3 linked regions of the Rattus norvegicus genome follow. The protein of the gene in region 1 interacts with the protein of each later gene in a pairwise test. Links are inferred from orthologs where the notes say so. Each region holds a gene or a part of one and is shown on either strand. Other genes may lie near its edges.

Region 1 (5,048 bases):
TCCAGAGCAGACCTGTGGCCCCTGACTTCCTGTACAATGGCCCCCAAGCTTCTTTAATCGGAAAGAAGCGCACCAGTACCAAGATTTTAAGTGCTGAGGTCTAGTACTTTGAAATTAATACCCACAAAAGCACGGTGCCCAAACCTTACCGACTGCCTCTTTTTTTTTTTCAAGTGAGACTTAAGACATGTTTAAGATAAAAGTCGATCAAAACTGTCTCAAGCCCAAGTGCTGGTGGCAAATGCCATCACCAAAGCACTCAAGAGGCAGAGGTGGGCAGATCTCGGTGAGTTTGAGTCCAGCCTGATCTACAGGCCTCCCAAAGCTACTCACAAAGAAAACCCTGCTCAAAAAACTGTCTCAAATACGTTAGGGAGTGGTTCATGAATAGTTAATATGCCTGGTACCCCGATCTCCAAACTCCCAACAGCTCCTTTCCCCTACCTTTGTCACTAGCCCCAATATCTTAAAGTGGCCAGTTCAAAGTCAGGTGCTATAACTGCAAGCAGAATACACAAGTCACTTTCTCCTCGCGCCCCTTTTTATCCCTTCCTCCGAATATCTCCTAGTCTAGAAACCTTATTTCTAACCGCTGGATTCTAGTTGCGACGGGACAAGGCCTCAAGGACAGAAAGAGGTACCGAGAAAAAGAAGGTCCAACAACTCTTGGCGGGTTCTTGGGATGAAGTGCTTGCTTTGCCAAATTGTTATGCCTGGGAAGGGAGAACCCGCACTCGGGTGTCCCCTGATCCACACAACCCCAGGACATCTTGGTCAGCCCTCGAGGAACCGAGAACCTCGGTCAAAATCCCCCTCCCCGGGCCATTACAGGCTCACAGACACCTTCACGACCCCACAGCCCCCCCCCCGCAGAAGCCCTTCAAGTCCTACCACGTCACTCCCATGGCGAAGGGTCAAAAGGTGGTACTGCCAAATACTCAAACTCAGAGAATCCAGACCTTCCCACGAGAGGCAGCCCCCTAAACACAGGAAGCGGTCGTTGACCGGCCTCCGGAAATGCGTAAATACTGAGCGCCAGGACGACACGCCCACAGGGAGAGGCATCTCTGGATACACCAGCGGTGACATTTCTAGTACGTCATCGACCCGGCTCCGCCCCCAAAACATACAAGGGGTTGACAACACGCCCTAGGCTACTTTCATGAATTCTGGAAAAGGTGACTCGAACATCCACCTCTTTCAGTGAGATTATCTGAGAATTTGGAGACTCCTGCTCCAAGCCCCGAAGCTCTTCTAGAGATGGCGATATATGAGGAACTTCCGGCCTCCGAACGCTGGGGGGCACTGTGATGCCTCAGTGACCTCTTGGAGACCGGAATACAAGGCGCAAGCGCAGTCTCGTCTCTTAGCCGGCTTCACACGTGTAAACTTTGTGGGCAAGTTTTTCGACAAAAATGCCCAAATTAAAGGTGACACGTGGGGCCAGAAATCAAGAGAGACATGCACCTCTGGCGGAGCAGATTCTGGCTGGGGACGCAGTGCGTGCGGGGACCCGAGAAAAACGGCGGAGACACGGGGTCGAAGAGGAGGAAGAGTATGTGGGACCCCGGTTGAGCAGACGGATTTTGCAACAAGCCCGGCAGCAGCAGGAGGAGCTCGAGACTGAACACGCGACTGGAGATCGGCCGGCAAAACCGCGAGAGCGCGCCACGCGGCTGGGTGAGTGACAAGGGGTGGAGTGGTGAGTTGGGCCGGTCTGATACTCTCCATCGGAATACTGGGTTAGAATTAAAAAGAGTAGGCGGCTTAACTTTCCCGCGTGGTCCTTCACTTCCACTCCTGGGTTTCGGGATCCAGACTTAAGCCAACAGAATGTGATCTCTCACACCAGTTCTAGCATTTATTTATTCTCTGTGCGTTTGAAGTATCTGTGGGCTGCCTGCATAGTGCTTTGAGCTGTGTTAAGTTTTTAGGCAGTTCTGATCCAGAAATAAGATCTTCATCACTCCTGATGGCACCGGAAGTGTAGCTCAAGGCACACATTAAATAGATAATTAGAGTAATATATTCCAGGCAGGAGTGGCGATGCTCACCTGTAATGCCAGCACTCCAGAAGCAAGGCAGAAGGCCTCCTTGAGTACATAGTAAATTCCAGATTAACCTCGACTACATTACATGATAGAACCCTATCTCTCAAGAGAGGGGGAAAGATATTTCTGTTTAAACAAAAACAGATGGACATTAATTCTGTATGGTGGGTATCCCAGGTTTCACGTCCTTCTAGTAAGATCTGAAAAGCAAGTGGGAAGTGTTCCAGTGATGAGGGAGGGGAACGAGTATTGTTCAGAAGCTAAAAGTGGGGTGGGATGGGTGGGTAGATGCTTGGTAATCTGTCTCACTGGGGAGGAACTGTCGTTGACCTCCAGTTGCTTAATCTTCCATTCCCATCTGTCCTAAAAGCAGTGTTTGAATGTGGCTTTAGGGCTACAGCAGCTTTTCTGAAGTAAGGGCTCAAGGAGCCCAGGCTGGCCTCAAACTCTGTAGGGGAGGATGACCTTAAACTCCTGATCTTGCCTCTGTTTTCCATGTGGCATTATAGGTGGTTGGCACCACGCCTGCCCTTAAAAACATTTTGTAACTGAGACTGGGTCTCCTTCAGTTGTTCAAGCTGGACTTGAACTTGCCGTGACCAAGGCAGGCCTTGAGCTTATAGATCCTTCCGTGATGCTGTCAGCAAATTTCACTCTGAAGCCATCTGTTTGATGGCTGCTTCCAGATTTTTCTCCCACGTACGTAGTTCGTCCAAGAGGCTCACATCTTTATTTCCAGTGGTCTTCCTGACAGCTCCAAGTTGAAGACTGGTAGCTGTCGATAGTTGAATGTGTCCACACAGAAGTTCTGACTTCCTTCCCAAACCTGCTCTCTGTTGGCTACACAGAGTTTGTTAGCATGTTAGCCTTCCACTGCTCAAGGCACAATCCAGTGTTCTCTTTCTCACTTCACAGTAAATCCTGATGGTTGTGTCTTTAGAATATATCCAGAGCCAGACCACTTTCCATTAACTTGGAACGCCTCCTGTTTTAGCTACCACAGTCTCCCCTGAATCACTGGGAGAGCATCATAATTTGTATTCTGTAACCTCTGTGGTCCATTCAACAGCTAGAGATCAACAGAATCCTATCTAATCTGCCTCTGTTTCAGGTCTAATCACAAAGTAAGGAGGGGATAAGATAATTCAGCTGGTAAGGAACATGACTTGAGACTCTTGACTTCCACCTACAACAGCTTGTAGTCCCACAGTGTTGAAGACAGATCTCTTGGACCCACTGGGCAACCAGTGTAGCCTAATCAGCTAACCCCAGGTCCCAGCCAGACCCTGGTTCAAAAACAAGGTCATCAGCTCCCGAGAAATAATAGTCAAGATTCCCCTCTGGCCTCTATGATGCAAGGGTTCACTCATATATAAAAAACTAACAACAGCAACAACAAAACACCCCACAAGTGTCAGCATCTGTCTCCTAACCTCTTTTATTCCCCTACTTATCTCATAGCACTTGTCTTCTTTTATTTAACATGTATTTTGTGTGCGTGTCATGATGTGTGTAGAGAACAGAGGAAAACTCTTGAGAATTGGTCCTCAGCTTTTCAGAACACTTGTTCTAGCAGAAGATCCGAGTATGGTTTCCAGCATTCATATGTCAGGCTTGCTGTCTGTAACTCCAGTGGCAAGGGGTCAGATGCCATCTTCGGATCTCACTAGACACCAGGCCCGCGTGTGCACAGACATACATGCAGGCATGCAGGCAGGCACCGCTCACACTTAAAGTAAATCTACAACAAACACCCTTGGCTCTCCCTGAATGTGCTCTGTGGACTCCTTGAGCTCTAGGTACCCTTAGTCCACTTCCAAGCACATGACCTGTTGCTCTGTAACACTGCAGCTAATTTGGCCCATTAGGCTCTTTCCCAGCTGCCTTGCCAGGTGTGTGTGGTGTTTGTCACTACAGGTATGTTGGCACATGGCTTTAATCCCAGCACTCAGGAAGCACCCAGCCAAGGCTACATGGTCAAGACCCTGTCTCTAAAAAAATAAAAGTCAGGATATGTCAGGAATGGCTTGACCCACCTATCCACCTATCGCCCACGTAAGGACACAGAGACATTTTATTATGAAAGCTTGGCCTTAGCTGGCTTGTTCCCAAGTAGCTTATACAACTTAGCCCATTAATACTAGTGTACACGGAACCACATGGCTCATTTCCACTCCTCAGTACCTGTATGTGTTTCTTCCTCTGGCTGTCAAATCCCTTCATATCTCATTTCTTTCCCAGAGTTCCTATCTCTGCCGGAAATCCTCTCCTGCTTTGCTATAGGCCAGTCAGCTCCTGATTAAACCAATGGGACGGAGACAGAGAAGATGTTGTTTATACAACACCTGGACAGGTGATGCTTCACAAAAATAACAATAACAACTGCAAGTCTCCACTGTTACAGAAATCAGTGTGTGAATAATTCAAAGACAACCTTACACAGAACAGGAGCGTTTATCCCAACATCAGGAGCTCAGTGTTAAGCATTGTGGTGTGTGTTTGTGATTCCAGCACTTGGAAAGTAGAGGCCTGAGAACAAGGACCTCTAAGTCATCCTTGACTACCTAAGTCAGCCTTTTAAATGTATTGGTTAATCAGAGTCTGGTGCCACTGACTAGCCCTCAGCCTTCCGGCTTGGCTTTACCTTTCCTTTCTGGTGCTATAGTCTAGTTCTGGCTCTGGCTCCTAATGCCCAACACTGCGACAACACTACTTTCCAGGGTGTACAGCAAGCTCTTGCTCCCAAATTGCCCATCCAGGGCCTCCTCACCCTCACCAAAGTGCCTGTGGTAATTCTGCCTCTACCATGGTTTTAGCCTTAGCACGTAATACAGCTGTACTGTGCAAGCCACAAAGTGGGAAGTCAGGACCCGAGCTACCTACTGTCCAGTTTGATGACAGTACCCATTCCTCGAGGTTATCTGGATGGACCAGGTTCCACGTGTATAGTATAGAATGGCTTCTTCGAGGTCACTGAGGGTAGTGCATCAACCATTA
Region 2 (4,609 bases), on another chromosome or scaffold:
TTCCTGTCCCCCTTTCTTTTCTGAGGAAAGTTTGCTCATTGTTTAGTATAAAGACACTTTTGAACTGTTATTACCTATTCTGTGTAAGCAGGAACAATTAATTGTTAGACAATTTTAGACAGCATGACCTTTGACATTCCATCCAATTGCTTTATTTGAAGATCTCTGGTTAAAAATATTTGAAGATAATTTTATTAAACATTATATATATATATATATATATGATACTATCACTGTGAGATCTTAAAATCTTTTCAATACTGACTGTATGATTTCAGACTGAATTATTTCCTGTTATCAAGTATTTGAAAAAGAAGCCTTAAATCTCTTCCTACATTACCAACCCAGTACTCTGTAATCAAGTCTATAAATATTTCCATTGAGATACCTGATGCTTTCACATTTAGAGGAACTAGAACCCATTACATATGAGCCAAACTATCTTCAATCGACCAAGCTGCAGAACGCTTGCATCGTGGTGATCTGGTTTCTGCCACAGCGAAAATGTTTTTCTCCTGTTTTCTCATTTAAAAAACTTTAAGCAACTGTGGGTTAGTGTGTATGAAGGATGTGGAGCACACCTGAGGACATGGGGACTTTCACTCTCTAAGTGTACATGTGGTTTATTTAATAGTTTAATGTTTTTTGGTGTATTGCACTTTTAAAATTAAAGTTTACAAATCGCTCACAAAGTATTGGGTTTCTTTTGGACAGTTCGTTTCTGTCATTTTCTCTTAATAAACTTCATCACAAGTCAGCACTAACCAAGCACCAAGAAAAACTCTTGCGTGCTGGGAGGAAGTGGTCTCAGTAACATGAAATATGTGTGTCTAGAGTTGGCCGATTTCAGATTTGAGTCTCAAAGTAATCACACCGTGCATGTGCATTCGCAGTCCCTCTACTTGTTCTGGCCAGCAGAAACCCTGGGCATCCAGACCCACCCAAGGCTTCCATCTACGGCCAGGAGGGGTCTAAGTATCTACTCATGTGCGGCAGGTTTGGGGTCACAGCACTGCTGGTGCCCACACGAACAGCATAGCACCCACTATAGGCCTGGGGACCAGCCACGATTACAAGAGGTGTCAGCTCGCAGGCCGCCTGGGAGACTTCAGGCTTTGTTCAGTCAGGAGCCAAGCCTCCTTGTCAGAGAAGCCAATTAGATCCCCGCTGGGGATCATCTGATCTCGCGTCCCTCACCAGGAGGGGCTCAGAAAGGGTGGGACAGGCCGGCCAGCTCTCCGGTACTGGGCGGCCGGCCGCGTGTCGGGAGGCCGGGCGCGGAAGCCAAGGCCCGCCCCTCTCCGTCTCGCTAAGCTCCGCCCCTCTCCCCAGGCCCCGCCCCTAGGGGCTCCCCGGGCGCGCGCCGCCCCGCCATGTCCGCGCGCCACGCCCCCCTGCTCGCCGGCCGCGTGCGGAGCCGCGCGCCCCGGAGGTTCCCGGACCGTGGCGGCGGGCGGCGACGGAGGAGCAGCCCTGCGCGGGCCATGTCTTCTCCGGCCGTGGCGAGGGCGTCCCCGGGCGGGAATCGGGAGACGGCCGGCGGACCGCGGAGCCGGAACGGGCCGTGGGAAGTGGGCGGCGGCGAGCGGTTGGAGCGCGCGGGCGCGGAGCCGGGGCGCTGGGAGCTTCTGCTCCGCCGCGGCGAGCTGCTGGCGCTGGGCGGCCACCTGAAGGGAGCGCTGGAGGCGTTCGCGGCTGCGCTGCGCCGCGGGGCCCCGGCCAGGCCCGAGCGCCTCGGTTCGCTAGTGGACTGCCTGGTGTTCAGCTACCGGCTCCGTCACGGGCTGCGCTGGAGCGCGGCACCCGCCGCGGGCGCGGCCGGGCTGCTCAGCTGCCTGGGCTGCCGGGGCTTCCTAAGTGAGCCGGTGACCGTGCCGTGCGGCCACAGCTACTGTCGCCGTTGCCTACGGAGGGAACTGCGCGCCCGCTGCCGCCTGTGCCGGGACCGTCTGCCACCCGCCGCCGCCGCCTCCGAGGGGACCCCGCGGCCGCCGCCCCTGGCCGCCGCCATCGCCGACTTCCGAACCAGCGTCGTGCTCAACCACCTGGCGGAGAAGTGGTTCCCGGGCCAGCGCGAGCGCGCGCGGGCGGCCGGCCGCCTCGGGGAGCTACTACACGAAGGACGCTACCGGGAGGCCCTGGCCGCCGCCTGCGACGCTCTGCGAGCAGGTGATGCGGGGCTGCGGTGCGGGACTGGCGAGCGGGGATTGCGAGTGTGGGAGGGGGCGGCGCCCCGGGGTGCTTCGGTCACGGTGGGGATCGCCTGGGAGCCTCAAGTGACGCGGCGCAGGGAGGGGCGCGGATGCGAGGTTCCCTCGTGCGCGCGCCGAGCGGGGACCTGGGGCGGCGGAGCTTGGGCGCGGGGTGGGTGGGGGCCACAGGCTTCCCTCTGTGAGCTGGCTGGGAACCCCAGCCGGGGTGGGGCGAGCATCCCCGGGCTTGGCGGGGCTTGGGGGTACCGCGTCTACCTTGGTCATGCACTAAAGTCACCGGGGCAATTAGAAGCCGCGGGAGGGCAGAATTGCATAAGCTGGGTGGGGGGGCGTTGTGTAACGGGTGACGTTCGGTGGGCGTGGCGGGAGCCCGGCGCGGGCACCGGCACCCGGAGGCCCAGCGGCGGCCCAGCTCTGAGTTGGTGACCGGTTGCCCGCGAGGTGGTCACCTCTTCTTACCTAAAGGATCGCTTGCTCCAGGAACCTCCACCTGCCTATCTCACATTCTGCTTCCTTGGACCTCTGTGCGTGCTCCCACACATTCCTGGTGTTGGTAGAGAAGTAGCCTCCTATGACGAGTTTGCCTTACTCAGTGTAGACCTGTGAGGGGAAGCTTTGTAGGTCTTTTGCTTATATCCAAGAACAGCGTTGTCCAGTTTACTGGAGATGGCTTTTAGACTGCGGATAAAGGGGTCATTGTAAACTTAGTAAAGCCAAGAGTTCTTTAAATCCTCGAACTCGGTTGTTCTCTACTGAGGTGGTGGTGGTACTTACCTCCTAGAGATTTTTACATCAGGGACCCTTATCTAGTAAAGCATCTAGAGACATCTTTGAATGGCCACCTCTTGTAGAAGTCCTGTCAGTACAGACATCTAGTGGCCCGTCCAAGGATGTTGCTAAACATTCCTAAGCTCACAGCCACCTACGTGAAAGACTGATCAAGCCCAAATGTCAACTGTATCATAGTTGGTCACCTGGTGTTGGGCATGCTTTGTGTGTCTGTGGGCTGCCATGAGAAATTACATACAGTATTAATCCCCAGGAAATGAGTGACATTGGGAATTTGAACTGATTTTAGGTATTAGGTAAGTTATAAACTTGTAACTGAAATTATTACTTTGACTCTTTTAGTCATACTGAGGAAGTTGACAGTAGCTTCAGGCATACCCTTCTGGCACGTTTTCATCCTCTTCTGGCAGCTTCATGAGCAGGCACTCATAAACTAAAACGACAAACCCAGAGTGATAGAACACTTGGGGATGCACAGTTCTGCTGGGGATGACTCTGGATATCTGGGTGGATAAAGTTGAGTGGGGGAAGCTGGACCTGACTGATCATCCAGTATCAGGCTTCTGTCAGACCTTAAGGAGGAAGCAGAGACAGGGCAGGTGACTTAACAACAGTCACTTGGGTGGTGGCTTGTATAGGCAGCTTAGACCCTCCACTTCCCAACATTCTCTGCCCAGCATTGAGATCCTCGGGTCTACCAGGATATCATCTTGAACAGAAAAGGCTGCGAATGATGAATTCTGTCGCTTCCAAGCTTCATAGACCGCATGTGAGATTTGCCCACAGGCCACATAACCACACTTTTTTCAAGACTCGAATTCAAGTCTCTGGCCTTTCACTTTATTATGTTATAGGGTTTTTTTTTTCCTTATTCATAGGCTTGTCAGAAAAATCAGTAATTCTCCACCCGAATATGCATCTCAATGATACTAATGATGATATTTTTTTCTCTTGAATTCTTTGTGCGAGATAAAAAGAGAACAATTAAAGAGCCAAACATATTTTAGTTGGTCGGGGGCAAATGTGTATGTGTTTCATAATTTATGGGCATTAATAAGAGTGGGCGGATAGCTCAGGGGTAGCAAGCTCGCCTGGCATGCGCAGCGTTCTGCTTTGTATCCCTAGCCTTCCAAACAACCCACCACAGTGTGTCAGTTCTACTCTCGCAAATCTGTTTGTCCGGTTGTTAGGGTTAAGGTGTCTTGGAGTTGGCCAGTTTTGAGATAGGTAAGCATTTGAAATGCATTTGTATCATTGCTCAATTATAGTTATTAATGGCACTGTCTTCGTTGATCATGAAAAAAAAACCGCTGTAATTTTTCATGTTTCTTAGAATGAAACAAATATTATTAGAAAAAAAAATCTAGTCTGCAGTTGGCCCACACACAACCAAACTTATCCTTGTCGACAGAAAAAGCAAACTTGGAAACCCTTGCCAAAATCAGAATTCCCATTGAGATTACATAAGGTTCTGTTGCATTGGAATATATTTAGATAACATTTAATCCATTGATCTTTTGGTATTAACTCTCAGATGTTTCATAACTTTCTTCTTAGTATTCAAGGAGCTTATGTAAAAGTCTTTTCTGCATTGAGTCTTTTCTACT
Region 3 (4,699 bases), on another chromosome or scaffold:
ACAGAACTTTGAGTATTAAGCTCTATTTATTCCAAGTAATTTGTTCATCTCATCTTTTTCTTCATACTTCATACCTCCTATCACTTGGTGAAGTATGTGGCACTTCTGGAAGGTGAACGTTTGCTAGAGGAAATGGGTTACTGGTTATTGCTTGTGGAGTCCATCCCTGTTTTCCACTTGTTATCTTGCATTTTGACTGGGGATGACTGGTCACTTTGCCATCCTGCCTTCATTACTATGATGGGCACTACCTCTTATTGTCCTGTAAGCCAAAATCAAGTCTTTCACTAACTTTGTCTATTAGGTTTGGTGGCTGTCACCACCTTATGCTTATTTTCTGCTGGGGGTGTAAAAAAGTACTATTATCGGTAATCTTGTTACCCCAGCATCCAGAAGACTACTTGGCATGCAGTATGCCCTCAGTGAATAGAAAATACTAAGTAAGTGACTTTAATATTTCAATACTAAACCACCAGAGCGTCAGTGACCTGTAGTCCCAGCAAAGAGGCTAAGGTGGGATGTAGGAGTTCTAGATCAGATTGGGCAGCTTGGGGACACCACTTCTCTCTTTAAAAGGAGAAAAACACCAGTTATATCAGTTCCAATATAGTTCCACATTATTCCTATTCATATGCTTATAAAAAGATAAAGGGTGGGGGTATGTTCTATGGAGGTATGGTGAGGCATGAGGAAAGGAGGTGCCTCAGCCGGCCCATGCTGAGACATCCATTCCTCCTGAGGGAACAGCCACACAATCCTTAGTATAGAGTTTATTCAGAGCATGGGGAGGGGAGTTAAGAGGGAGGGAGAGGTAGAAGCCGGCCATAATCCCGTGGAGATAGGGAGGGGAATGGGGAGGGAAGGAACAAAGAGGGAAGAGGGTAAGAGCAAGAGGGGGCAAGTAGCCTCATTTATAGTATCAGGCATACCTGGCTGTTGGCTGGTAACTGGGGGGGGGGGGGTAGAGCTTAGAATGCTAAAACCTATGTTTTGCAATAAAAATAATCCTGGCGTTTAGGCTTTTCTTTTTAGTTCTGAGATTGAACATTGAGAACGCACATAGTCTAGAGTACACTCTTTCTAGTCCTGAAGTAAATATGTCACCAGCTTTAAGGCTTTTCTGAATTCTTTGGCCAACATCTAGGTCTCACTCTGGCTCACTTCGCAGGACCTTTCCTCCGGTCGCCACAAATCTCTCCACGCAAACGGAAACCACAGTTTTGCCCAGTGAAGATCCTCTACGGGAGGCTGAGCTCACGAACCACACGTTTCTGCAGAGTTAGCGCGGAGTAGTTGCCCGCCCCTCCCATCGAACAAGACTTCCAGGCCACGTTCCTCCTGCTTCCCGGAGCAATCCGTAGGTCCGCGAGCTCGCCGGAAGCCCCGCCCCGCCCCGCCGCCCCGCCCCACCCCCTGCAGCCACCGGGCTCGCGCATGCTCGGTGCGTGCAGTCTCGTCCGCGCGGGTTCTCGCGTGCGTGCAGCACGTTTCCTCTCGCCCACCCCGCCCTTTTTGGTCACTCAGAGGCGCGCAGCGGGCGCACGGCGATTGGCTCCCTCGGTGGCGGCGCCACAGGACCCGCGAACTGCGTGAGCGGAGTGGGCCCTTAAGGATCCCGTGGCTCCACAGGTAACGGCGTGGGCCGGGAGCGGTAGGGGGTGAGGGGGAAGGGGAAGGGGAAGGGAGAGAACCTCAGAGTGGGCTGCAGCCCGATCGGGACTTCCGGCCGCGGCCCCTGGAGATGCAGGAGTACTTGCTTAAGAATTGACCGCGAGAGTGCCGGCCACCTTTGGTAGCCCGCGTCGCGGCGTTCACAGGTGACACGCCGCTCCTCCAGGTTTCAGCATCATGGCGTGTAGTCTTTCAAAAGTTAAAAAGGCCGAACACTGAGAAGTGTAGGTTGTTTTTCCTCCAAGCTGTGAGGAATTAAGGTTTCAGTCCTGGCTGGACCGTGGGTTCACTTTATGCCCTTCCGGGACACTTTAGCGCTTCATAGCTTTCACCCTTCATAGTGCGAGACAAAACCGCAGTGTAGCTCAATATGCCCAGTGCCTACTGTAGTAAGATACAACTGCATACTCTGGGTTCACTACATCCAAAAACTGGCTTTTCTAACTGGAGGATGACACCACCTTACGGTATTGGTGAAGTACTTCAAGTCGAGTAGATTGCAAGATAGCAGGATAGGCTAGGGTGGTGATATAAGAAACGCGTGTTTCTAAGAGAACAGGCCTTTGGAAGGGTCCCTTTGAGCATTTTTATGTCAAATAATTCCCGGTGGTGGTAGATAGACAGCTAAGGAAGGACGCCTTTAATCTGTATCACAAGTTACTCACTTTGCAAAGTTTCTTACTGCCATCTGGAGTGAACCTCAGATAAAAGGACAGTTACGTAATCGTTACATAGGCTATCATCCTGCACTGGATATTACTATATTATTAAGTCACTAGAATGACTAGAGGAGGGTAGATCAAAGGACGAATTGCTTCCATCAAATTGGGGACATTTTCTTGATTAATGATTGAGGTGAGAGGGCCCAGATCACTCACTGTGTGTTTTATCAACCCTGAGCAGGTTGGATCTCACTTGTATAAGGAAGAAAACCAAAGCATGCTATGGAGAGCAAGCCAGTAAGGGTAACTCCCTGGTCCCTGCTTCAGTTCCCGCTTCCAGGTTCTATCCTCCAGCTCCTTTGGTTGCTTCCTGGGTGATGGATGCTAGCCCTCCGTGTTAGCTTTTGGTCATGACATTTGTCAAAGCAAAAGAAACCAAACTAGATTGCATCCTAGTAAATAGTGTAGCAATAATTGAGGCTAATTTTGAAAAAGTGAGATAATATGAATTATTTCATTAGATAAAAGTAATGATGGACAAGCAAATATGAGTAGATGTACATTATTTTTCTTCAACGGTAGAGTATGAAATAAAAATCTTTGCGTGATAAATTTAAAAGTTTAATAAACATAGAAACGTGCTTAAGTTGTGTGTACAGTTTATTGTATTTTCATGAAGTATAATTATCTTATGTCTTGAAATAATTAAATTTAACCATAACTATATACCACATTTTTTGTTTTGGAAACACACACGCGCGCACACACACACACACACACACACACACAATCTATTCTAGCAACAGATTATTACTTTAACGTGGTAGCTGATTTGGACTTTCTCTTTAATAGTTGACTAATAGGACAAATTTTCCATAGAACTACTTTTGGCATTTGTTAAAAGGAAATCTGGTTGTGATTTTTGCTAAAGTTGGAAGTATTCTTTTAGGTTTTACTCTATTTTAATATATATAGGTATGTGGTATATTCTTTTAAATTTAAAGTAGTGCATTAGGTTTGTGTATGTACATTGAGATTGCTTCCATTTTGCTTAATATCTATACATTTTGGAAATAACTAGACTATAACAGGGTTCAGTTTACTGTAGTTTATAATCTTGAATATTTTTCTTGTTTCTTCTTGAAACATGCCAACATCTGTTTCTGTCTCTGTATCTGCCTGTCTCTCTTCTCTCTCTCAAGACAGTCTGGCTTTAGTCCTGGCTGTTTGAGAAGTTGCTATGTGGACCAAGCTGACCTTGAACTCAGAGAAATTTTGCCTCTGTTTCCCAAGTCCTGGGATTAAATGAGAGCACCATCTCACAGTGCTTCTTTGTATTTTTGTATCTTTGTAGGATTTGCTACTGTGGAATGAACTTTGAAAAAGAGAAAAAAATGATAACTTTAAAAAACTTTATTGTGAAATATGGTTCATATAGAAGTATATAAAACATGGACATTTTTTTCTGAACAAATGAATAACCACTAAAATTGTTACTTTTCTGTATATAGCTGTTTACAAAACATGTCTGCACAGGTGATATGGATTGTTTTATACGTGCCTTATTAATGCTGTTGCTCAATCTCTCCTATTAACAATTCATATATGTATAAATCTCTGTGTTAGTAGTAGTAAGTGGTGACAATTTGCTATGTTAAGACTCCTTTTGTAATAATGGAGTCTATTTCTCCCTGGATACCTACCCACCTAGTCATATACACACACACACACACACACACACACACACACACGCACGCACGCACGCACATCCACACATATATACATGTGTGTATGTACATATCTATTTTTGAGGTCATGCTCTTCATAGTATATAGCTTCATGATTAATCTATTTTTCTGTAAGCTAGACATCCTCTTTTATCAGTGATTCATTTCATCTTTAGTGATACTTTTTGTTTTAAAGCCTTGTCTGAATTTTTTAAGAAAAACTTTTAAAATAGTGTGTCTTGTTGAGAAGCTAAAAAAAAAATAGTATATATTGTCTCTGACTTACAGTCGTTCACCTTTAGATTTTTTGGCTTTGGGATGGTGAGAAACTGGTAGTCAATAGAGGTGGTATCTTGCATTTGTATTTTTAATCTTTATTTAGGCTAGGGGTAGACAGACACGGTAAGTTACTGTTATTCATGACACTGGGTGGTGGCTGCAAGCTGCAATTCCTAGGTGGTATCAGGAGAACCAACAACTAGTGGTCTTTGGTACATTGTGTTCAGCTCAGGGATTTGATGACTTAGGTGTGTATTACATGCATTTTTGGTATATTTATCAGGATGTAGTCCAAAGAACTACATTTGACATCTGGAAAGTCAAAGAACATCTTTCCAGAATTCTGTATTCCCTGGATAA

Evidence for each region. The genes of interacting proteins can lie anywhere in the genome.
Region 2: the proteins of Bysl (region 1) and Lonrf1 interact in binary tests that used the Homo sapiens proteins (3 or more experiments, as listed by UniProt). The two-hybrid records come from large-scale screens. The link is inferred for Rattus norvegicus from reciprocal best matches to the Homo sapiens genes BYSL and LONRF1.
Region 3: the proteins of Bysl (region 1) and Mipol1 interact in binary tests that used the Homo sapiens proteins (3 or more experiments, as listed by UniProt). The two-hybrid records come from large-scale screens. The link is inferred for Rattus norvegicus from reciprocal best matches to the Homo sapiens genes BYSL and MIPOL1.

What each region holds. Positions count from the first base shown.
Region 1 is NC_086027.1:20,878,994-20,884,041, forward strand, and holds the start of Bysl (bystin), read left to right. Parts: upstream 1-1,347; 5' UTR 1,348-1,415; coding exon 1,416-1,680; intron 1,681-5,048. Other genes in the region: Med20 (mediator of RNA polymerase II transcription subunit 20), read right to left, coding at 892-905. UniProt on the Homo sapiens protein: Required for processing of 20S pre-rRNA precursor and biogenesis of 40S ribosomal subunits. May be required for trophinin-dependent regulation of cell adhesion during implantation of human embryos.
Region 2 is NC_086034.1:62,686,572-62,691,180, forward strand, and holds the start of Lonrf1 (LON peptidase N-terminal domain and RING finger protein 1), read left to right. Parts: upstream 1-1,359; 5' UTR 1,360-1,373; coding exon 1,374-2,169; intron 2,170-4,609.
Region 3 is NC_086024.1:80,488,881-80,493,579, forward strand, and holds the start of Mipol1 (mirror-image polydactyly gene 1 protein), read left to right. Parts: upstream 1-1,449; 5' UTR 1,450-1,629; intron 1,630-4,699.